3 linked regions of the Lytechinus pictus genome follow. Each later gene encodes a partner of the first gene's protein in a complex. Links are inferred from orthologs where the notes say so. Each region holds a gene or a part of one and is shown in the gene's direction. Other genes may lie near its edges. The genes, in order: elongation factor 1-gamma-like, elongation factor 1-beta-like and elongation factor 1-delta-like.

What was found.
Region 2: the proteins of elongation factor 1-gamma-like (region 1) and elongation factor 1-beta-like are in contact, whole or in part, in a crystal structure (PDB 5DQS), measured with the Homo sapiens proteins. The link is inferred for Lytechinus pictus from reciprocal best matches to the Homo sapiens genes EEF1G and EEF1B2. Residues at the interface, in NP_001395.1 of Homo sapiens: Leu146, Lys147, Thr148, Arg149, Thr150, Phe151, Glu155, Arg156, Pro185, Asn186, Arg189, Leu192, Thr193, Asn196, Gln197, Pro198; in NP_001032752.1 of Homo sapiens: Ala20, Asp21, Lys22, Ser23, Tyr24, Tyr28, Val29, Cys50, His51, Arg54, Asn57, His58, Ser61, Tyr62, Glu65.
Region 3: the proteins of elongation factor 1-gamma-like (region 1) and elongation factor 1-delta-like are in contact, whole or in part, in a crystal structure (PDB 5JPO), measured with the Homo sapiens proteins. The link is inferred for Lytechinus pictus from reciprocal best matches to the Homo sapiens genes EEF1G and EEF1D. Residues at the interface, in NP_001395.1 of Homo sapiens: Tyr9, Trp13, Arg14, Phe40, Gly41, Asn44, Gly56, Lys57, Val58, Ser104, Val107, Pro108, Ser111, Thr112, Phe115, Ile120, Met121, His123, Asn130, Glu134; in NP_001123527.1 of Homo sapiens: Ala2, Asn4, Phe5, Leu6, His8, Glu9, Ile11, Trp12, Phe13, Lys15, Phe16.

The regions. Positions count from the first base shown.
Region 1 is NC_087251.1:26,859,819-26,867,728, reverse strand, and holds the start of elongation factor 1-gamma-like, read left to right. Parts: upstream 1-4,622; 5' UTR 4,623-4,976; coding exon 4,977-4,988; intron 4,989-5,127; coding exon 5,128-5,286; intron 5,287-7,908; coding exon 7,909-7,910. UniProt on the Homo sapiens protein: Probably plays a role in anchoring the complex to other cellular components.
Region 2 is NC_087257.1:11,050,888-11,059,036, forward strand, and holds the start of elongation factor 1-beta-like, read left to right. Parts: upstream 1-4,620; 5' UTR 4,621-4,760; coding exon 4,761-4,840; intron 4,841-8,093; coding exon 8,094-8,149. Other genes in the region: DNA-directed RNA polymerase I subunit RPA2-like, read right to left, coding at 3-143, 649-768, 1,593-1,667, 2,932-3,066, 4,408-4,479. UniProt on the Homo sapiens protein: Catalytic subunit of the guanine nucleotide exchange factor (GEF) (eEF1B subcomplex) of the eukaryotic elongation factor 1 complex (eEF1).
Region 3 is NC_087255.1:10,468,236-10,476,276, forward strand, and holds the start of elongation factor 1-delta-like, read left to right. Parts: upstream 1-4,849; 5' UTR 4,850-4,927; exon of another isoform or gene 4,928-5,044; intron 5,045-8,041.

The DNA.
Region 1 (7,910 bases):
AAAAACACAAACAACTGGAATGCCCTCAGCAGTCTCAAATGAATTACCCCCAAATAGCATCTATTCGCATTCATGGCTGTTTATTTTACACAGAATTTCATTTTTGTCCTCTCCCTCAAACAGCAATATTAATTTTCCACCCTAGCACACAATGGTTGATAGTTTGAGGACATGTTGAGTTCTAATACCATTCATAAACACAGATGACATTAGGGCCTAGATATGTACATTTAAGTCATGCTCTGCATTCAGTAACAAGTGAGGAATGACCAAACTGGTAATGTCTTAATCCCCTACGGACTGGAACAGGATGGTGCAAAGTCCTTATACAGAAATGGGGCAACAGTAAGGATGGAGACACTAACTGCGACTGTAGAGAGGACCAGACAATGTCTTTCAACCCAAAGCCAGCACTGGACAAGCCTTGTGTAGTGACTCCAGAAGAAGTACCAAGGTTTTAAAGGGAAGGTTCACCCTGACAAAAAGTTATTGTAGAAAATGCAGAAAAAATCATTAAAAAATATTGGTGAGGGTTCGAGGAAAATCCATTAAAGATTTAAAAATTTATTAGAATTCTATTTTTTTTTAATTATGATGTCATATGCGTGCAGATTCCCATGTATCATATATTTAAAAATCAATAAAAATGTCATTTTTTCAAAATTTGAAAATGGGTTATTTTGTAACTTCAGTATATCAACAGAAAAAATATTTCACATCCGCTCCTGAGAGAAGAAATTTGTTATTTATCATGAACCCTTAAAAATATTGAAATTGAAACATTTTATAACATATGGGGCAGCTGCTCGGATGACATCACAATTCAAAAGTTTATATTCTTTCTAGGAACTGTCTTAATCTTTAATAGATTTCCTCAATCTTTCATCAATGTTTTTCTTTGTATTTAACAATAAACCTTTTGTTAGGGTGAACTATCCCTCTAAGAGGTTATCACTTTAAAGGGGAATACAACCCAAATAAAAACTTGTTTTAAAGGAAAATGAAAAACTAGACGAGTTGAAAGGTAAAAGTTTGAACAATATCAGACAAACAATAAGAAAGTTGTGAAATTTCAAAAAATCAAAATATTGGTAATCACTAAACCCATGGAGACTCCAAATTGGCCGCATATGTGATGTCATAGTGATGTATGGCAAGGACTACTCTTCCATTGTACTCCAATGCATAAAATTGCTAAAATGTCATTTTTTCAAAAGTTTTACTTTGAAGTTTAAATTATATTTTTCTTTCATGAGGACATAAAACAATACATTACCTGGGTTATATTTAGACTAGCGCCTCATGGGAATGGGTACTTAGGAGAAAACCATTAATCCCTGAAAATTAAGTACATGGCCTATGGGGAAAGTAGTCCTTGCCCCTGGTCATAATTTACTTACCCAGTTGCCAATTTGAAATCTAGTCTTAGGGATCTCAATTTTATAGCAGCCATAACTTTCTAATTGCTTGTCCCAATTTCTTTCAAACTTTCACCATTCTATTCTATTTATTTTTCTCCTCTCCAACACAACATTTTATGACCATATACTGAATTCCCCTTTAAGGAACCTTTATCTAGATTTTTTGTGATGATTTTGCGCTATCAGATCAAAAACTAGGAACAAGAGCAAATTTTTTTTTTTTAATTTAAAACGGCTTATTACAACAATTAGGGTATCTATAGCGGCTGAAAAGCCTAATTGCAGAACCCTTTACAAAATTTACATAAAAATACATTCAACATCAAATAAAAAAGCACAAATTCTACAGCAAAACACATAGAAATTTTGTTTATCATGTTGGGGACACATGTATTATATTATGACATGCATCCCCATTATGATAAGCCAAAACTTAAAATACATGCAGCCAAAAAACATAACAATGAGTTCTGACTAACCAGAAAGAAGCACGGGAGGAAAAAGGGAAAAGAGACTATGAGAAAGAGAAAAAAGAGAGGTAGAGAGCAAGAGGAGGAAGAGCGGAAAGATCGGGGGCGAGAGAGAGAGTGTATGAGTGTAAGTGTAACAATGACAATTTTTATTATCATACGTAGATCCTGGTAGCAAGGCTGCCTGGTAGGTTTGAATGGATCAGTATTAGGTGTACGTTATTAAAGTTAAGTGGCCGCAATGGAATGAAGCATATGTACAATACATAAAGGCAATCATATTATAATATAAAATAACATAAATAATGATGGTACATACATTTAGAGATAAAATTGTGTTTTAAAAGGGTTAGGCCTAGGCCGAATTCAAATATTCAATTCAGTACCCCAAAACTTTTAGAATGAGGCATACTTGTCATATACTTCTAATATGGTGTGTGGTCAATTTCGTAGTGGTGGGGTATTCTGCAATTAAGCTGAAAATTGCAATTGATAAATCCTAATTTGCTGCAAAATAAATTCAAGGTGAAGAAACTACCGTTACTTAATTTGAGGCTAGAGCCCATATTGGTAAGCCAAACTCTTTTACTTATATTGTATATGCCTTCAGGCATACTAGTCTCATCTTTACATTTCGCAATAAATGCGGACTCTTCTCACAAGCGAGTGTCTTAACGTTTTAGATTATTGAATTAAACTTTTTGACTTTCTTTGTTCATGTTGTTCTCAATCTTATAATGGGCCTGAGTCATGTTGGAATTTTTTTGTTCCGGAATCCACTGGTGTTGCACCGGACCGAATCCGGTATCCCGATAAATGAATTCACGAATGGGGAAGTACAAATAAGTCACAGATTATACAATAATATTGATTTCATTTTTAACCAAAAATTCATTTAAAAAAACGAGAAAAATATTAAGAGAAGACGAGGAAAAAACTTGCTGATGTTTACGTGGCCATCTTGTTCTCTTTATAAGTAGCTAAGCTACGAGACGCATATAGATTATAGAGGGCGGCAGACTCTATATGTGTCTCGTAGCTTAGCTACTAACAAAGAGAACAAGATGGTCAAGTCGTAATCGTCAAGTTTTTTCCCCTTCTTCTCATCATATTTTTCTCGGTGGTCACCTGAAATGTAACAAAGAAACCAGTTATCAGTAGAGGCGCTGGTCCAAAGATTGGGATTGTCCCAGAAAACAAGGATATCCTAAACCAATGCAAATCCTGTCTTGATAAATTGAGATTGTCTTTGTTTATGCAGACAGTTTTTTTCTTCACTTACCCCTGCGGGACATAGATGACAATTACGGAGACTGAGAGCGATAAAATACATTCAGTGACCTCCATTCCCTCCAGTTCACCATCTATTTTTCACGACTTGCCGTCTTCCAATAAACTTGTTATGAAACCCAACAAGTTTACATTTACTCGCACACTTGATTGATGTCAGCACTTGACAGGTGAATGAACTTTCCTAGATTTCTTGTGTGAAGAAATCTTTGAAACCTGAGGCAGTACATCCCCGAGTGTAAACTAGGAGTGGGACAATCCTAATTTTCTGACCAGCGCCTCTACTGGTCTGGTTATAATTGGTAAGACTGAATAAAACATACTCTGCTCAATCATTATGTTAACCCTAAAAGGACTGGGCTATTTGAGATGTATTGAGGACTGGGGGGAGGGGCCATGATGGTCCCCCCCCCCTTCTGATCTCGGCCGCCGTACACGCATTTGCGCCGAAATTTGGCACGCACATTCTTTATCACATAAACTACAAGCTAGTATAGGAAAAAATCTGAAAATAATTATTTTTTATTTATTATGAATCAAATATGCAAATTTATTCATGAAAAACATTATTTGCATATTTTACACCCGATTTCACTTCAAGTTTTCTTCCTTTTTTCCAAATGTCATCTTTGAAATCTAACTTAATTAAAGGTTTCCACAAAGAAAAATTGCAAAAGCCAATTTTTTCCTCATGTTTTTCTCTGTTTTTAGAATTTCTTATATACAATGTATTTCTTTGTATTTTTTTTTTCAATGGGAATTATTACAGTCCATTTAACAACTAAATTAAAACCTAAATTAATTAAGCAGACCAATTAGAATGAAAAATAATCCACCCTTTTATGAATTTCATCTCAAAATAGACTTTGTCTTTGTACAAAAAGTATAAAAATGGGCCATTTTCGGCACGACATTGTCTCGTAAAAAGTCATGTGATGACGTCGCGAAGCTATACCCATATCATATGTCACGAATTTGGTCTCAATAGTTGCGCAAAACTTCAGTGACAAAAAAGAGGCACAAAATTTTGTGGCGCTATCTTTTTGCGCTTCGGAAATATCGCGCAAAGCGTCAAGGGGGGGGGGCCGGGCATCATGGCCCCCCAGTTCTTTAAGGGTTAAGAAAATGTTAAACTACATTGTTTCATTGGAATACAGGACCAGAAATAAGAAAAACCAGAACCTGATACATGTCATTGGACAGATATTTTTTTATCAGATTCTGGTATTCCGTCCGTTAATTCAGACCCAGGCCTACTAAATACTACTACTAGGCCTAATTAATATAATAAAAAAAACATAATGGAAAATTTACCTCAAAATCTTCTACTTTTTTCTAGCTATCCACTGCAACTTTTATCAACAATGTGACCCAATGTAGTTTCTATGACTAAAATTTCGAAGTTAATTTTCTAGTTAGTGTGTTTTTATGGCATGCTTTTATTATCAAAAACGTAAATGTGCATGCATGGGACTGAAGATGTTTGCAACGTTAGTTTTGGAGCATAACATTGCAATTAATTATACAAAATTGAACTCACTGAGAATTCTAAACAGGACTGATGTTTCTTCGATTGTGTTTCGTTCAGATGACTTCAGGAAGTAATAATTTTATTCCGGTTTCAGGCCGTACATAAATCAAAAAGTAGCTATTGTCACTGGAACATGTGCAGGCCGGCAGCTGACTACGCCGCTACATACGTATACAGAGGGAGGGGGATCTCCCGGCGTGTTGTTCGCGCAGCTATTCTGCTTCTCTTTTTGCAACGTCAACACGGTCTTTCCAGCTAGCAGCCATGGCTTCCGGGGTAAGTCCACACGTGTATCTTGATTTATATCCACTTATATTTCTTTCATCTTATGAATATACGCTCTAAAATACCTTTGTTTGTGTTGATATAATACTTAATATTGTGATGATCTATTCATTATCATCTTGTTTTGCAGACTTTGTACACCTATCCCGAAAATACTCGGGCATACAAGATCCAGATCGCTGCTGGTTACAGCGGCACACAGCTGACCGTTGTGCAGGACCCACCGGCTTTCAAGCTTGGCGAGACCAACAAGTCAGCCGACTTCCTGAAGAAATTCCCGTTGGGAAAGGTAGGCCTCGCTCTCTCTCTTTCCTTCTCTCTCTGTCAGTCACGAAGGGCTTTGCTTTAATTTGGGAGTCAACACCATTGATGACAGTTTTTGAGTGCTGTGGTGAATCAAATTGAAAAATACAAAGTAACGGCAGTATCTGAAAGTGAAAGTGAAACATTTTTTCATTTTGTTTGCATGCCTGCCTAGCCAGGAGGCTTCTAACGTTAGAGAGTAAAAATCATTTACTAACGTATGCTTACTCTCCACGAAGCCTAACCCAGGAAACTCCCGCCCGCTGCGCGGGCGGGAGCCCAGGAGCTTACCGTGTATTTGACCATACTCACGGGACTAGGGTGATTTATAATTATGGTCTAAATATTTCTCCAAATGAATTGTGAAAACAGAAATTATGCACTTACCACGATTACGGTATTATTAGCCCATTAGGGTATATGGATGAAGGTCTAACGAGTGACAGTTTCCTGACATCTGGGCACAGACTGGAACCTCAAAAAATGAAAAGTTCTCTCCTTCTGCCCCCGTCTCGATCGGACATTTTTGTTATGAATTGCGCGGGCGGGAGCTCCCTGGGTTACACGAAGCCTAACCCAGGGAGCTCCGGCCCGCTGTGCGGGCCGGAGCCCAGGGGCTTACCGTGTAATTCACCATACCCACGGTAGTAGCGTGAAGTATGGTCTAAATAATTATCCGAATAAATAGTTAAAACAGAAATTAAGCACTTACCACGATTTTATGGATGAAGGCCTAACGAGTGGCAGCTTCCTGACATCGAGGCACAGACTGGAACCTCAAAAAACGAAAAGTTCTGTCGCGGTAGCTTTCCTTTCAAAATTCAAAACAAAATGGCCGATCGAGGCTGTTGGGCGCATGCGCGAATTTGGCAAGACAATGAAATCAAGATGGCGACGTAAGCACGGTGGCAAGTTCTTCCCGTCTTTTCATAACATTTTTCTTGTTTCTTCAATGAATTCTTGTTTAAAAATGAAATCAATATCGTAGTAATGTTGGAAATGAAGTTGTATCCCATCCCATGTACATGATTTAGGGCTAGATCTTTTTTTAGAAGGAAAGTAGAAATCTCGGGGGCGAAAGTTTCAGGTTTTTGGGCGGTGCGTGTAACTATGGGAAGCAATTCCAGGCTCCGTTGAGAGTAAGCATGCGTTAGTAAATGATTTTTACTCTCTAGGAGCCTCAAGGCCAGGCTAGGGCCGATTACACGAAAGGGTCTTTTCAAGGACCGTCTTTCGTGTCGCCCGTCTTTTATGATGCGCTGTATGCGGGATATTTCTTAAATGTATGATAAACAAAGAAAATTTGTTAGCTAGCATTTAAATCAATTTGTATACAATTTCATGATACATCACATCATTTTATAAACAAAGATTTTGTTTACTTTAACGGATGAATGAAATATGTTTGCAGGCAATTTATTTAAAATGCGTTTCACATGTTGCATCATGATAAATGGGCGACACGAAAGACGGTTCTTGCAAAGACCTTTTTGTGCAATTGGCCCCAGGTTTTCTTCGATTGCCGTCAGCGCAGCTACAGCTAGCTGAGCGTACGAACATGCCAGCCATTCCACTGGCACGGCCGTACGCTCAGCTGTAGCTGCGCTGACGGCGATCGAAGAAGAACCTGGCTGATCCTGATCTATTTGTAATAAAAATTCACTATTTTCCCGGCATATTTTTTTGAAAGGTGGTAAGCAGAATGTATTTAATATAAATTTATCTTTAATGGGCATAATGGCCCCCTCCCCCTATCATTGCATTAATTAAATTTTAAAATTTTCAGGTTTCTAGGGGCAGTGATTTTCCGTTTCTAAAATTTACTTTTTCAATTTAAGAAAAGCTTGAATTCTGTTTCAGCATGTCTGAAAACGGAAATTCTATTTCCCCATAGACTTTGTGTACATGAAAGAGTGACAATTCCGTTTACATAGAAAATCAATACGCAATGAGTAGTGATGTAAAAATACTTGTGTTGGTCAAACTTTGTATCTGCCACTTTACTAACAACGCTATTAATACATCCTCACCTTTCACATTATTAGCATTATTTTGTGGTTAAATGAGATTTTATCGATGATTTGGGGACTTTTTGGACATCTTTTTGAGCAATCAACGACTTTCGCCTATCCGCCATTTTGGATTTGAGGAATACCGCGATATGATATTATGATAGAACGCAGAGGGCAGCAACACACGGCCATGTTTCTGCCTTCATGCGGACGTGAGTGTAAACTAATTTTAAGTGATGGAGGGGCTCGACTCGCTCGAGTGCAGTCACGATGTGTGGATTGTCATGATTGTTGTAGCGAAGTGAGATCGTGTTTTTTGACCAGTTGATATTCGTATTTCGTTGAGGATTTTGGAGTAATTTCTGTTGCTATTCTGTGCATTTTGAGAAAAAATATGTTTTCCGTGATTTTAGTTTGAAAAGCCACTTTCCGTTTCAAAAGGTCGATTCCGTGAATTCCGTCTGTTTTCCGTGATCATGGAAAATCACTGTCCCTATGTTTATGACCACTCCCAATCACTTTTGACAGTTTCCTCCAGATTTTACTTTCATGACCAGAACTAATGTTTAACTTAAATTTTTTTTTTTTTCATTTAGGT
Region 2 (8,149 bases), on another chromosome or scaffold:
ACAAAATTTCTTCTTGGCATGACGAGCATTCTGATGACCTTCTCAATGCCGTTAGCGATGAAATAACCTCCCATTTCAGAGCCCTCTTCTTTCCTTTTTACAAGCTCACTGGGAGGTAGGTTGTGAAGATTGCAATTCTTACACTGAAAAAAAGTACAGAATTCATTCATTTATTTCTTTACTAATCATTTATTCAGCAGGTTTCAAGAATTCATAATAATAGAAAAATGTGTGCAAGAGTGTACAAAACCAATTCATCTCTTTTTATGTCCTTTTGTACCACCTTATTCATGTCATATTTTCAACAAATACTACTAGTACTTTCTCTTTACAGTTGGCAGGTATGATAAAGCTTTCCTGAATTGTATTGCGGTGTACTGTGTTTGCTCAGTTGGTAGAGCGTCCGTCTCACAACCGGGAGGTCGAGAGTTCAAACGCCGGAGCATCAGACCAAAAGATGTATTTTGGGAGTTGCTGCTACCCTGTCTGGGGTTCAACATTGAAGGGATAGATCTCGTTTATCTGACGCTGCACAGTGGCTGCCGGGCCAAGAAGAATTGGGCAAAAAGAATTTTCGGAATATTTCTATTTGAAGACTTCTATTTTCAAACAATGAAATGTGGATTTGGATTGGATTCATTGACTTACTTTTACAAGGATGGGTATCTGGCCCAGAGGACGCATGACACTCCCACTGTCCCCATTGCTTCGTTGCCAGAGCACCCTTGCCTGAAGAGGGGCCTGGTACGTCGTCCCACGCTGTCGACACTAAAAGGAAACAAATTTATTTTTTTAAGCAACTACAATCACTCTGGAGGTGTTGCCATGGTGTAGTGGTTCTCACTCCAACATTTCCCCCAAGAGGGTCATTGGTTCCAATCCTTCTCCAGGATGTACAGCGGTATTGATTTCCCTCGGCAAGAAAGTAATCCAGATTTTGCTGCAATCAACCCAGGTGAGGTACATGTAAATGAGGACTTGGCAGGAATTTAGCCCTTGAAACAGAGTGTGCCTAACAGCTGCTCTGCTAAAGCTGGGGTTATCACCCTGCATCATTATTGAGCACTTAGAGACTTCTGATAAGGTGTTACGCACTATAAAAGGACGTCATTATCATTATAGACTAAACAACATTCCCATATCTTTGATCGTGGATCCTGATGACAGATTTAAAATGTAAATGAACTTTTACAGATAACCCGCCACTTCGAGATATTGCTGAAGAGCATATCTACCTATAAATGGCATTTTGATTAGCCTACAATGTACATTGCACATAATCCCGAATTGTTCACCTATAGCTGAAATTTGATTTTAGTCATTGAAATTTAGATGGCTTTCGCAACACATTTTCAAGGATATTCGATGATAAATAAAGATAAAAATAACCAATTTCTCAGGGCCAATGAGAGGAAAAGAAATCAAGCGACCTTTGGGAGTTTCATTGAAGGATCAGTACTGATAATTTCAGTGAAATCCTTGGTTTTGATTGGCTGAGAGGCACTGGCCTCTGACTGTTACTATAGTAACTGTCAGAGACAATCAATTTGTCAGTGCTGACAACTTTAATGAAACGGTCACCCTGAACCTACCTCTGATGGGTAGACTTTAAGAGTAGAAGCAAACAGGTTTCCTCTTGCAATGGTTGGTACACCAATGAATGCATCCTATGAAAAAAAAAACAATCACAAAGAATGAATGTATCCTATGAAAAAAAAAACATAAATAACAATAAAATTAAGAACAGGACATTCACAACATCAGAGCATATTGTGATATACAGGTGACCCAGGGGATAGGAATACTATGGGCCAGAAAGGATAAAGATGAAATTAAAGGGGAATCCAGCCTTGGTCATAAAATGTTGTGTTGGGAAGGAGAAAAATAAATTAAACAGAATGGTGAAAATTTGAAATAAATCGGACAAGAAATAAGAAAGTCATAGCTGCTTTAAAATTGGGATCACTAATAGTATGTAGATTTCAAATTGGCAACTGGGTAAGTAAATTATGACAAGGGGCAAGGACAACCTTCCCATAGGCCATGTACTTTATTATCAGGGATTTGTGGTTTTCTCCTAAGTACCCATTCCCCTGGGGCAGTAATCTAAATATAACCCAGGTAGTATATTGTTAAATGTCCTCATGAAAGAAAAATACAATTTGAAATAAAACTTTGAGGAAAAATGACATTTTAGCCATAATATGTAGTGGAGTACATGGAAGAGTAGTCCTTGCCTTACATCACTATGACATCCCATATGCGGCCAATTTGAAGTCTCCATGAGTATAGTGATTACCAATATTTCCAACTTTGAAAAATTCATAACTTTCTTGTTGTTTGTCCAATATTGTTCAAACTTTCACCTATCAACTTGTCTGACTTTTCTTTTTCTTATAAAAACAAGTTTTTATTTGGGTTGGATTCCCCTTTAAGTTTGGGATGAGGCGGGATTTCATGTGAATTTTAAGGAAAATGTAGAAAGAAGTATTTTTTCACTTTTTTTATATAAGGAATACTTGGGGGTAAAGATGGAGATGAATCATTTTAGAAATTAGAATGAAACAAGATAGCTGAAAATTACTATTAATGGCAATCCATACTTGTGCATATACAGTGTACCAGTATAATGCCCCATTTTCATACTTATATGCAATGGCAATTCCAGAGTAATGTTTTCATGAGTAAAACTCTGTCTCCAACTTTCTCTCATTTAAACTACTCAGCTATTCAGAAACATAAGAACATTGATATCTATCAAGCAAAAGTACAATGTTTACTTTGTTTTTTTAATACTTCATGTGTTATCTTCTTCCACAGTCACTCTGGAATCTTTTGGATCAAATCAAACTTTTCATACTGATAAAAAAAAATTAGATTTCATCATATTATTTGATTTCAAAATACTATTCAAATCTTTTCTAATGATACCTCATATGAAAGTGAAATTCTTTCATCATCCAATAGGAACTCCACTGGATTGATGTTCCTCACTGCCTGTGCTAATCCATCGTCAAGCATGTAATTGAAGGATTCAATGTGAGGGCGCACTGCATCTTCTAGGAGCTGTTTTCACAATGAAAAAAAAAGACAGAATCAAAATCAATTGTAAACACCAGCCATGTATTAACCTCTAACTTCATCAAGGATAAGAAGAACATAATAGTAGCATAGGCCAGGCCTGCAATCACCATCAGTTTTATGAACATGTACATGTACTCATTTCTCAAAATTATCTTAAAAATTCAATATCTTATACTTGTTAAATTTAAGATACATGTACCACAAGGACAAAGTTCATTGACCCCAATTGTGATATGTGACTTGTATACCTGAAACTCAAATGATCAGTAACCATGATTGGTGACACTTAAATATCCTACTCCTAGCTATATGTCCAGGTTTCAAAAAGTTAAACTTTTGACTTGTTGACGATCGACGAGACAAAAATCAGATTTAAAGTCTAGAGTCTCTACATCTTTTGTTCGTGTTAGGTATCTAAATAAGATTTTTCAATTTTTTTAAACATTAACTTCAAGCTCTAACGTTACGCTCTCCTTATTATAAAGATCTAACTTTACAATAGCTTTTGCAAGTAGTAGCACGTGAAAACTTAACCCAGGGAGCTCAAGGATAATAAAATTGCAGGTGATGAAATCATACTTCTTCGTCTCCCTCCTCCGGTGAGTGGAGGAGATTATATTCCGTCAGCTGTAATGTATGTCAGTTATGTCACTGAATCATAACATGGACCTAGACCAAAAGCTTCAGTCTCTGGTATGTTGGTTGTTCCGCTGAACTCCGTTGGCTCCACTCACCAAATACAGAGACTGAAGTTGTAGCTCAATCTGTACAGGGACCCAATTATGGCCATTTATAATAATTAATATTAATATGTTCATGTAATTATTAGTTCGGATAAAACAGGGAAGTGAAGTTGCGCGACAGCCGAGGTAAGTCACTGTGTTTTCCCCTTTTAATTTTATTTTTCCCCGTTTTGGTGCATTTCAGGCCAAAACGGAATATTAATAATCTTTATTTTGCCTTTTTTTAGTTTTGGTACACGTACAGTTCTTTTTATATATTTATGAAATTAAGTCAGACAAAAATCAATGAGCCCCGTCGGGGGGATTTTGCATTGTTAACCCCCTAATGGTGGCTGCACGATAGCGAGCCGTCTGTGTACGAGAAATAAAAAAAAATAAAAATGTTTTTAAAAAACTCCTCGAAACAGACGGCTGCCAGCTGTCTATAACATGGAGCCTAATATCCGCACTCAGGTCGGTTCGCTGTGGCATTGATTTAATGTACACAATATTACAACTTCTCACACTACACCAAATCATGCACACGAAACATTCCTTATTACATGGTAAATTCAAGATTTAAAACGAATGATATATCAACCTTGTTCTGGTACTCTTTCGGTCTCCCATATTCTCCATTTGTTAAGTTACGGTAAGTTGGTGTATCACTCATTTTGACAAATTTTGGGCGACCACCTTACCACATTCACAATTCCATTCGCACTTGCAGTGCACTGCAGTTTTGTTTGGCAAAGCGCAAGTGCATCGACGTTTCGCACATGCGAGATTTTTTTTCGCTGAACCCCCCTTTTTTACATTCAATGTATGTATACTGTGTGCTGTGCGTGCCCAGTTCCAGAGTCATCCAATTATTCATCCTTTCCTGAAAAGTACACGTGTGATTCACTTGCTGCTCGTCTCAACTCCGACTTTTAACAAACTTATCTTGCAAAAATGGGTTTCGGTGATCTTAAAAGCAGCAGTGGGCTCGGTGCCCTTAATGATTTCCTATCAGATCGCAGTTACATTGAAGGGTAATTTTCTTTTTATTTCACAAGATTCAACAACATACGAGGTAGCGTCTAGCGAGGCGTGGCGTGAGCTGACTGAGTCTTAACCCAGGAAGCTCCCGCCCGCGCGGGCGGGAGCTCCCTGGGTTAACTGAGTCTGAGCTGCGTGCTGTGTCTGCCCTGCACTGCCACTGCGATGTTCAAGTTGAGATGGGTACCATAGGCATGATTGGGATATCAAATGTTAATAGTAAATTAGCATACGAAAGTAAACCACAATGGGTTTTTTATTGATAATTATACTGCTGTGTGTGATTGGTTCTGTCAGTAGACAGGTAGATAGAGGCGCTGGTCCAAAAATTGGGATTGTCTCACTCTCACTCAGTCTCAGAAAACAAGGATATCCTCATCATGTCATAACCAAGGCAAGACAAATCATGTCTTGATGAATTGAGATTGTCCTTGTTTATTGGGACAGTTTCTCTTCATTCACTTAGTGACTTTAGCCCTGCGGGACATGGACAGCAATTCTCGCTACCCCAAATAGGAACAAAAATCTCATAATGCGCGAGACGAGATTATTTTCACTCCGTCGGGTCGTCATCACCACTTCCGGTTCAGAGTCATGCTCGCGCGAGGTTCGCGATACTGAGTTTTCCACCACGCTGAAATCGATGCCAATCAGCGATATGTACAGATTATAATACTTTTTATCTAATTTGGTCAGTTTTGATTCCATTTGAATTATAAATAAAAATAAAAAATATATTTCATGTGAAAATAGTTTTTATTCATGTTTTTATTTGGTTATAAAAAATTAAACAAAAAATGAGTATCTTAAAATTTCGCATTTAGCGACCGGCCTGACATCACGATCGTATTCGACTAGACGCTTAATATATAGCCTACAGCATTCATTCCGTTCAATTTTTCGTCGACCACAAAATGGATAAAAAAAAAATCAGTTTTGGAACTTTAAAAAATCTTAACTGACAGAGGAATACCGTGCAATGGAAAGCGTCAGGCAGAATTAGTGACTTTAGCAGAAAAGGCCGTTAAACTGTATCGTGAAAGAGAGGGTTGTGATCACGAACTTTCCGAGCGAAAGCGACGTTGTGTTGTTGTGCATGACGGCACTGTTGATCTGAATGGCAAAACAGTGCATTGGACTTCCGAACAGGAAGTTTTAATACCGAAAAGCTATCCCATAATGCAATGCGCGTTACAGGGATTTTTCCCGGATCTCGGCAAAATCGCTATTTGGGGTAGCGATAATTGCGGGATTGAGAGTGCTAAAAATAGATTAAGTGACCTCAATTCCCCCAGTTCACCGTCTATGGACTATGTCTATGACTATAATCTATATTTCATGACTTTCTGTCTTCCATTTCCAATAATCTTGTTATGAAACCTGATGATATGTTTACATTACATTGACTAGTGCACTGGATTGATGTCACAAGAAATCTAACTTAGGAAAGTTCATTCACCTGTGAAGTGCCGACATCAATCGGCACTTCACAGGTGAATGAACTTTCCTACGTTAGATTTCTTGTGTGGAGAAATCTTTGAAAACTGAGACAGTCCCTGTAAACTGGGACGATCCCAATTTTCTGACCAGCACCTCTGTCATATCACCTTCATTTTGTGAAAACTCACACAATTTTCTTATTTCACATCCATTTTTGATAATAAAAATTTTGGTGTGTGATTTTTCTTTTGTTTTTATTTTATTCAAGTCATCTTTCAGGTTTTAGTTGTTTATTTCCTGTCTAAGTGGGGTGTCTGAAGCCACACTGAAAAGTGTCAGCATAAGACAGGCTGATTTAGGGGAAAATATGGCACACTTTTTTCAGGAAATTCAGGCTGCTAAAAAAATGTGATCTGAATTGATTATTAACTTTTGTTTGGCATGTATTGAAAGAAAATTCAGGGGCTTCTTTTGACAGTAAGGACAAGTTTATAGGATTATTTGAAATAAGGATTTAGAGATAAATTGCAAACCCTTATTTGTCTGTGTGTTGAGATTGTTATTTCCCCATGCATTTTCTATGGGAAAATGAAATTTCTGTTTTGCACAAATTTTTTCACTTTGTCGCAATTCTTCATTGTGATCTGGTTTCCAAATCTTTATAAAAATCATACCATCGGAAAGAGCATAAAAATTCCTACTAGACACTTTATGGACAAGTTTTTGGCATTAATAATAAATTTATAACAGCTCTCGGAAGCTAAAAATTAGGATTTGTGTGTGTCCATTTCTTAACTACACAGTAATATGGCAGGGAAATGCTGAAAATTGACCTAATTTCATTCTTCTTTTTTGCAGCCAATAATTGGATTTTTTCAAAAAATATTACATTTCTATCAGTCTGAAGGTTTTTTCTCTTCAAATTCACAAAGAAAATGTGATATTTCCTTGAAATAAGAAAAAAAAATTCTCCAGACACCCTAGTCTAAGATTAAATCAACATACATGTAGCCTATTGTAGGCCTACATAAAAAGAATGTGATTGTTTTTTATGTGTTTTTTTAGAAAACAATTATTTTATTCCGCTCTGAGCGCCTTGAGCATCTAATTAAGATCAACATGGAAAGTGCGCTATACAAATCTTGAATTACTATTAGATAGGGCAAAAAAAAATGAAACGGCATTTCTACTAAAAAGCGTTACCTTTATTATATATTCTTTATTAGCATTATATTGTCAAAGACATTGCTCAAAACTGACCATGAAATTTCCTACTAAATAGTTAGAAATAAGGCTTAAATGCGCCATAAAATGTGTCTGGAAATGCATACATACAGCATTTTGGCCCATCCCCAGGCCATAGGCTATACTTTGTGGGCTAGTGGCTGAAAATAGGCATTTTTAAGTCTTTATAGACTGTTTGAGCCTCTGTGAGGAGCCATGGAAACATGTCACATTACTTGGCTGCCAGAAAATGTTGCCACATTTAACTACATTGTTCACTCAAAATATAGAATGAAAATTTGAGGCAAGTTCACCTATTGACTTTTTGACACATGTCTACAGCACAAATCTGGTGCCACCCTAGTATTATTTTATTTTTAGAACCTACTTTGAATTAAAAGGGTTATTTTTATTGTGAGTTGCATCTAGACTCAATCAACGTACAATGTAGCTTGTGGTTACAGATTTTGTTACTACCCTCATGAAAAAAAAAACCTTTATGTATTTATAGTATACACACCCGAATGAATGAAAAGAATTTACATCAGTTTACCTTTAGTTACTTTTCTCTTCCAATTTCAGGTACACTGTATCCCAGGCTGATGTTGTCGTTTTCAAAGCACTGACTGGGGGCCCAG
Region 3 (8,041 bases), on another chromosome or scaffold:
TCTTCCTATACATACATAATACGAACGCGAAGCGCGTGCAGAAAATATTGGATATTCTGATATGAAACTAGATAATTTAAGCATGTTGTAAATAAAGAATAAGCTGCATATATCTCAATAAACATGCGTGTGCGTATATGAGGCCTATCTGGGCATTCTAAATACATTTGTTATCATGAAAATGAATAATGCGAGCGTGAAGCTCGAACTGAAAATAATTGAAAACTATATAACTGAAAATTTTATTAGTGACATGATTTTTTTTGTATTTCTTCAAATCTTCCCCTCATCTTATTTTATTCACTCGTCTTCCTCCTCTTTCCCACTTTTAGTTGGCATGGCCTTGGGAACTGAGCGGGCAAGTAGGAGTGCTTCTGGTATGGGGTGGAAAAATTGAAAAATGTAGGCAAAATGAGGTACTTTTTTAGGTAAAACCTTTTTTTTTGTCAAATTTCTCTGGATCAAAATGACCTCCGTTTTGTAGTGAAAACATTTTTTTTTTTTTTTTTTTTTTGCTTTTCAAATTTACATCAGCACCCCCATCGTTCACAGGGCCTTGGTAGTTGGAATGTTTAGATGAGTGTGGACTTGGTTAAAATAATAATCACTCGGCCCATATTATTGATATAATTGTAATTTTGTTGAAAATTTTGGAATGAAATAGTTTAGAATCAATTCCAACTTGTTATAAATTCAGGTTTTGTTTTATACTGTTTCTTCGTTTCTCAAAATGCGCTTTGTATTTTATTATTATAAGTAGATAATTATTTACTTTATTTCTATTCAATATACAAATTTGATAAAAATATATATATGATACCCATTGTGTATTATAACAAAGTGATGAAGATATAAGTCGTCCATAGGAAGGACAGATATAGGAAGCTTGATCCCCAGCCCTCCGAATGCATGATTTACTTTTCTTACTTTCACATAAAACCATCCAAAATTGTTAATATTCATTTAAAAAGATATATATTTCATTTAAAACGCATAGGGTGCTGAAGCACCCAAAGTTTTGTCGGGGGGGGGGGGTGCTGCATACATCATGGCATAGGCAGCACCCCCTGGAAATCAGATTGGGTATGCCTAAGAGGAGAAATTTAACCAAAATCCCCTTCATTTTTAGGCGAAACCCTTTTTTACGGGGGGGGGGGCGCTTGTGGATTTTTTATGTATTTAGTTTTTTGCTTCCGGCCACATTCACCTTCATTTGTGAGCGAGTCCCCTTTTTTCTTGTCTTTTTTTTTTCAAACTAGCATCCCCTCTCAAAAATCATCGCCTGGTCCTTAACTTTGTTTCCTCCTCGTCCCCAAATTTTGAAAACTGAAGAATTTATGTAGAATAATATCAGGTAGTGCGTTTGTGCTTTCAATAATCATTCAATCTGTAATGTGCTCTATACATGTATATTTCACTCTTCAAAACTTGAACACTGTCTCACTCGGTCGCTGTTCGCTTGGTTTATTTTCAATTGGTCTATAAGTATAATACCAAGTCGTCTTCTATCATTTGGTCTACCATCAGTTCGTCCACGATCCACATGGTCTGTGGTAGTTGGGAGAAATGAATGAAAATAAATTGGATATTAGACCAACTATGAGACGAAACTGTCATATAGACGAACGGGTGATTATTAGACAAAGTGATGATTGGACCAAATAGTTGTTAGACAAAATGTTGATGGACGAATGGCATTAGACTAAATGAAGTTAGACCATGTGATGAGTGGACGAGTTGGCAATAGACGAATTGGGACCTTCGCGTACTTTTGTAATAATTCAAATTTACTTTTTTTTATCCGACACCCCCCTCCACAAACACTTTTATTGCCCTCCACACTTGCCCCCCCCCCCCCCTCTTACAGGGGCCGCGGAACCGGGGGGCTGGGGGGGCTTCAGCCCCCCCACTTTTTTCCAAAACCGTGTACAAAAACGTAAAAATGACCATATGATTGTGATTTTTAGCATGGTCACCCCCCCCCACCCCTTTTGGCTCAGCCTCCCCCACTTTGAAAACCATTCCGCGGCCCCTGTCTTACTGGCGCTACTACCGGTGCCGCCAATCAAGCATTTTATACAATTTAGCATTAAGCCAACATCCGATGAGGTTTTTTAAATCCCGGGTTAATATTTTTTTCAAAAATTTGGTTCTCGACGAAAATTTCCTCCAAGAAAATCAGACAATTATATTTTTAAAAAAGGCAATCGCTTCCAACTTTCCATGGCGCTGGGAAGCGGGACGCAAGATTTTTCAGGGAGTGCTGCGTTGTGCAAAGAATAGGCAGCACTCCCTGCATGGAAATAAGGTTGAGAAGCAAAAAAGAGGGGGTATTGTGCTCCCAAAAACAAAATGACGGAGCACAATTTTTCTGACGACCAAACCCCAAGCACCGCCTATCTAAAAATCGTTTCCGGGCCCTGATCGCTCTCAAGGGATGAATATGACCATTATAGGCCCTACAGTCAGTGGCGTATCTACGGGGGGCATGGGGGGCACGTGCCCCCCCCCCCCCCCAATCGGCTGGCCAAAAAAGGGGGGGAGGAGAAAAAAAAGAGAAAGAAAGAAAGAGAAACGTAGTGGGAAATAAGAAATTATTGTTCATTATAATGTTATATTATATTATGATTATGTTATGTTATATTACATAGAAAAAACTTTTTTTTCATAACTTTATGAAACATAATTTTCTCAGGCCTATGTCTTCATAGTTCCTGTTGCTCGCATTGTCTGTTTAACGAGATATGTAATCCTGTTTTACTAAAACCTCCCGTTTTCAAGTCAATACACCAAATATACTTCCTCGCTTTTCGAGTTATTATTGTTTTATGTTGTGACATATGCTTCTTTTTCATGACTACATAAAGTGATTGCCCCATTTTAAGGTATTAATATAAAACATTTCCTGTCCGTGCTTACATTTGCATTAGTGGATTGGTGAGATGTCTGCTCTTCATTAAATCCTAAAATCAGTCCTTAAAATGTCCCTTTTTCTGATCTGAATATCAAAAAATTTCAGCTCGCGCTTCGATCGAGCTCGCACATTTGGATAGTGAAATACGTATGGTCTTAGTGAATTCCTACAAACAAGTCTTAGAATGCCCCTCTTCAGGTCTGAATTCCCTAAATTTTCAGCTCGCGCTTCGCGCTCGCAATATTTGATTAGTGAGATGCGTATGTTGATCATGATTACAATGACTACAAGTGATTCATTTGTTAAGATGTAATTCTAACAAAATCAGCAAGCGCTTGGCACTCGCATTAGATGATTTTGGTGAGATATGTATACTCTTAATGGATTAATGGGATCAATTATTACACAAAATTCAGCTCGTGCTTCGCGCTCGCATTGTTTGTTTAGCGGAACAGGTACGTATCATGATTACAAAAAATTGTTTATAATGTCCCTTTTCAGGTCTAAATATTTAAAAAAAATCTGCTCGCGCTTCGCGCTCGCATTATTTGATCAGTGAGATACATGTCCGTTTAATGGTACTGCCATTAAAATGTCTCTATTAGGTCAGTATACCTGGCACTAAGTGACTCAATTCTTGTTGCTGGTGCCTCCCCCCCCCCCCCCCCCAATGCCGTGACCCACGGTACGCCACTGCCTACAGTATTACACTTTGGAAATAAACTGTTAAAAAAAATATTTGAAATTACTCAATAAAATTGAGACAAAAAAATATGCCTTAATTTTTTCAAGTATTTATAAGTTTAGCAGTTTTTAGTTAAATTTATTTATTTTTTGGAATACATTTTATTCAGGTAAATCAAGTTACAACAACTTAATTCAATTAAGTAAAACAATCACTGAAATATTTTTTTTTAATGGCGGAGTGGACTTTCGTGATTCGAAAATCCGCTCCCCCATCATCCCACTTTCAGTGACATCATTTTCATCTTATTATATAGACATCTTTTATCCAAATATTAGACTCTATATGCATTGTCACTTACCTGTACATGATAGGTCCTGAGAACTACTGACAGTTATATTTATAGGCGACCGGTTCATTCTAACAATAATATTTACATTTTCCGCAAACCTAAAAAGAAATCTGAAATTTTCAGATGAGTGACTATTTAATGTTGTTCTTTCTTTGATTCTGCTGCATGAGAATAAAATATTTTGCGCATTCTAATCCAAAACAATTTCACACCATAGATATGACAGTTATTTAAAAATTTTAACATTTACTTGATAATGAATTATTGAATAAGGCGGCGGCGTTACTGATTGAAAAATATAAGTACATTCAACATGACTTTATAAGTAATAATTATCTTTGCCTAATTGGAGTTAGATTTACTTAATCGAAGCAAGCTATATATTTTGAACCCAAATAAACCAAGTAAATTGAAAGACAAGTTAAACCTACTGAAAAAATCGAGAAATAATTACAATCATTCTACTTATATACCGTAATTCAAAGATATTTTTTACAGTCGTACATTGTAATTTGCTGAATATTTTAAAAGCCTGAATTGTCACACATATGATGCAGTAAATATTCCATTTCTTTAGGATCAAGTATTAGGGGAGCGGAGGGTGATTAATCTAAACTAAAAACTGAGTGCCGTTTTAAAATCATTTCCTTTTGTTTCATATCACGACCTGATTGTGAAAGTTCTTCTTCTTCTGTACACGGCAAGCCATCGGTGGATTGTCCTACTGGTGAAGTGCAATTTTCAAGTGTATGTACATCATCAGATAAAATTTGCTTACAGCGTACAAGTAAAAAAAGGTTTATCTTAAAAACAAGAAGTTGTAACAAGCCTGTGAACTATAGCCTAGGATAGGACTTGAAATTATGAAATGTAAATTGTCTTTTTTATTTTTACAGAAGCGATACCATACCGGCGCACACACACTTTTCTCCTTTTTCAGCCTTTTTATTCACGTGTACACAGACGGGAAACGCCGGTAAATTTTACAAAACATAATTTGAGGATAATAAGTTGTTTCTACTTTATGTATGTAAATATTTTTTTTTGAAAATGAAATGAAATTTGATATTTCATTAATGGGAACTCTTCTCTGGTAATTATATTATCGTTCTCGCCAGGAAATTTGCCTTTCTTTCGTCAGTCGCTCCCACGACTGCACGAGTCGAGTCACTGCAGTCTGCACTGCCATGACTGCGAGTGTGTGTCGGGCCGGGGGTGTGTATGTTGGGAATTGGGCAGTTGGGACGCCTCCCGTCGGGATCGCGCTTTGTACCGGAAGCGTCGCGTACCGGAACGGCACCGTCATGACAGTCGGTGACGGTGTAACTGCGAATCTGGTGACTGGCTTCTACAAGTTCTAGGCACACATGATCCGCCGGCGGATTCAGTGCCAATTTCTCCCACAATTTCCCTTCAGCAGATGCATCATTCATGCACGTAGGCAGCGTATTAGTATTAGACAGCTGGCAGCCGTCTGTTTCGAGGAGTTTTTTTTTTTCCTCGTACACAGACGGCTCGCTTTCATGCAGCCACCATTGGCATTAGGCTAATTTAGGGTACTTACAATGCAAAATCCTTTGTCGGGGCTCTTCAATTTTTGTCTTTAATGAATAAAACTTTTGAAAATTAACGCGACAGAAATGCAAATTAATATTCCCTCTTGCCGGGCATTAATTGCCAAAAACAGGGGAAAAATCAAGTTAAAAGTAACAAAAACAGCGACTTACCTCGACTGTCGCGCAACTTCACTTCCCTGTTTTATCTGAACTTAATAATAAACATATGGCCATTGAGTCCCCTGTACAGATCGCGCTAAAACTTCGGTCTCTGTATTTGGTGAGTGAAGCCCACGGAGTTCAGCTGAACATCCAACATAACAGAGACCGAAGCTTTTGGTCTAGTAGCGTATCATCAGGTATGTGGTCGTGGCCGCGGCGCGCAAACTCACTAGCCCCCCCCCCCCCCCCCCCCCCCCCCGATATTGCCGGCCAGAGCCGCGCATGCGCTGCCGGAGGGTGATCTCAATATGATTCACGTAGACGTCACGTAGCTTAGTCAATCTGAATTGAACCAAATTCGCCGAGGAACCAAATGTGCAAACATCAAATCTGCGGATATGGTTCCAACAAGAATCCGAGTATGAGCAATATCTGCTGGCGGAATTGGTATCCACCGGTGGAACTAAATCTGCCGCTAACCAGCCCATCGCACTCCGCAGTGGGGCACGCACGAGCTCCGCCCTGGCCCAGTCGATCGGGCTGGGGCGGGGCTCCCTTCTTCTTTTTTGGTCCTTGGGTATAGGGAGTGATTGTATTACCGACCGGCCTTGTATTACCGAACACGCGCATCGTATGTGTCAGAAAATAATTTCATATGCTCAAAACTTTGCAACATCCTTCCAAAGCACAGCGACAAATCGTCCATAGACTGTGTACAACGGATAGATCATCTCCGCACAGCGATTCGGATACCGCTGATTGGTCAATCGCGCAGATCACGTCATGACTACGTGGTCGCCAAAATAATTCCTTCGGACTGCGTGCGGAAGTATCGATAGCGATAACGATATCCGGTGACGTTGAGTACGCGGGAAATGGTCTTGGTTCGTGATCGGATCGCTCCGGTATCGATCGAAAATTATCGAAACTCTGCAATTTCATGCATATTCACGCGACGCTCCGAAACCCGGAAGCCAATTGACTTTGTGCACGTTGCGATAGACTACAAATTCCAACAAATACGATGCCATATCGATGCTAATTCGTAAGAATTTGACTGAAAAGCAAGAAGTAATCGAAATTCACTTACCTGTGTGGTATCGGTGAGAAAATAGATCCTCCGAGAAAACCTTTCATAATTCATGTAAAATATAGGAAAGTGAAATTCTAGGTCGATTTTGGTACGAGGTGATAGAGAATTGCACACTTGTTGTTTTGGTGGAATACTGTGTGGGGAAGTGGAAGGCTTGCACTGCGCATGCTTACTGTATTTTCATTCATAAATTGGCTCTCGGCAGTGGCTGGATGACGTCATGTAATAAGCAAAATGTACACGCCCACTAGCATTGAACGCTCAGCTATCCGTTGTACACAATTTGTCGCTGTGCAAAGGGAACTTGAATAGAAAGATGATGAAAAAATTGTCAAAAACACATTTTCAAAGTCTTGATATTCTAAAAATAATAAAATATGGTCAAAATAGCTCATCGGTGATTTAGTTGTTTTCTCAATTTTTCCTATAGAAAACACACGTTCGGTAATACGATACCTTTTTCAAGTGGTAAAAAATTTCACATGCGAAGAAGGGTCCGATAGGAAGCTAATATCGTAAAAAGGAAAAACTATTTCGGCAAAATTTTTACATATCTTTATTTTGTAAGTAATAGTGTATTTTTGGTGAAAGTTTGATGAATTTTAAGAGAATAATGTGTTTGATATGATTGAATTCATGGAAAGTGTTCGGAAATATGATCCACTACCATACCGTACACTACCCAATGCCCCACCTAGACCAAAAGCTTCGGTCTCTGGAATATGTTGGTTCCGCTGAACTCCGTTGGCTTCACTCACCAAATACAGAGACCGAAGTTCTAGCTCGATATGTACAGGGACTTAATGGCTATATGTTTATGTATTAAGTTTGGATAAAACAGGGAAGTGAAGTGGCGCAACAGCCGAATTAATAAGTCACTGTTTTTCCCCCTTTTAAGATTATTTTTCCCTGTTTTGGTGCATTTCAGGCCAAAACAGAATAATATTAACAATCTTTATTTTGGTACAGTTCTTTTTATATATTTTTATGAAATAAAGACAAAAATCGATGAGCCCCGTCGGGGGGATTTTGCATTTTTAACCCCCTAATGGTGGCTGCATGATAGCGAGCTGTCTGTGTACAAGGAGAAGTTTTAAAAAAATAAAAATGTTAAGAAACTCCTCGAAACAGACGCCTGCCAGCTGTCTATGCCCCACCCTACTTTGCGGCGCATGGTACAATGTAGCTCGAGATCTTGAATTTTTTCTGAACCTGACTTGCACAGTTGCAGGGGATCTAGAAAAAACAGATTCAAATTTGAGAATGAGATAGGATACAA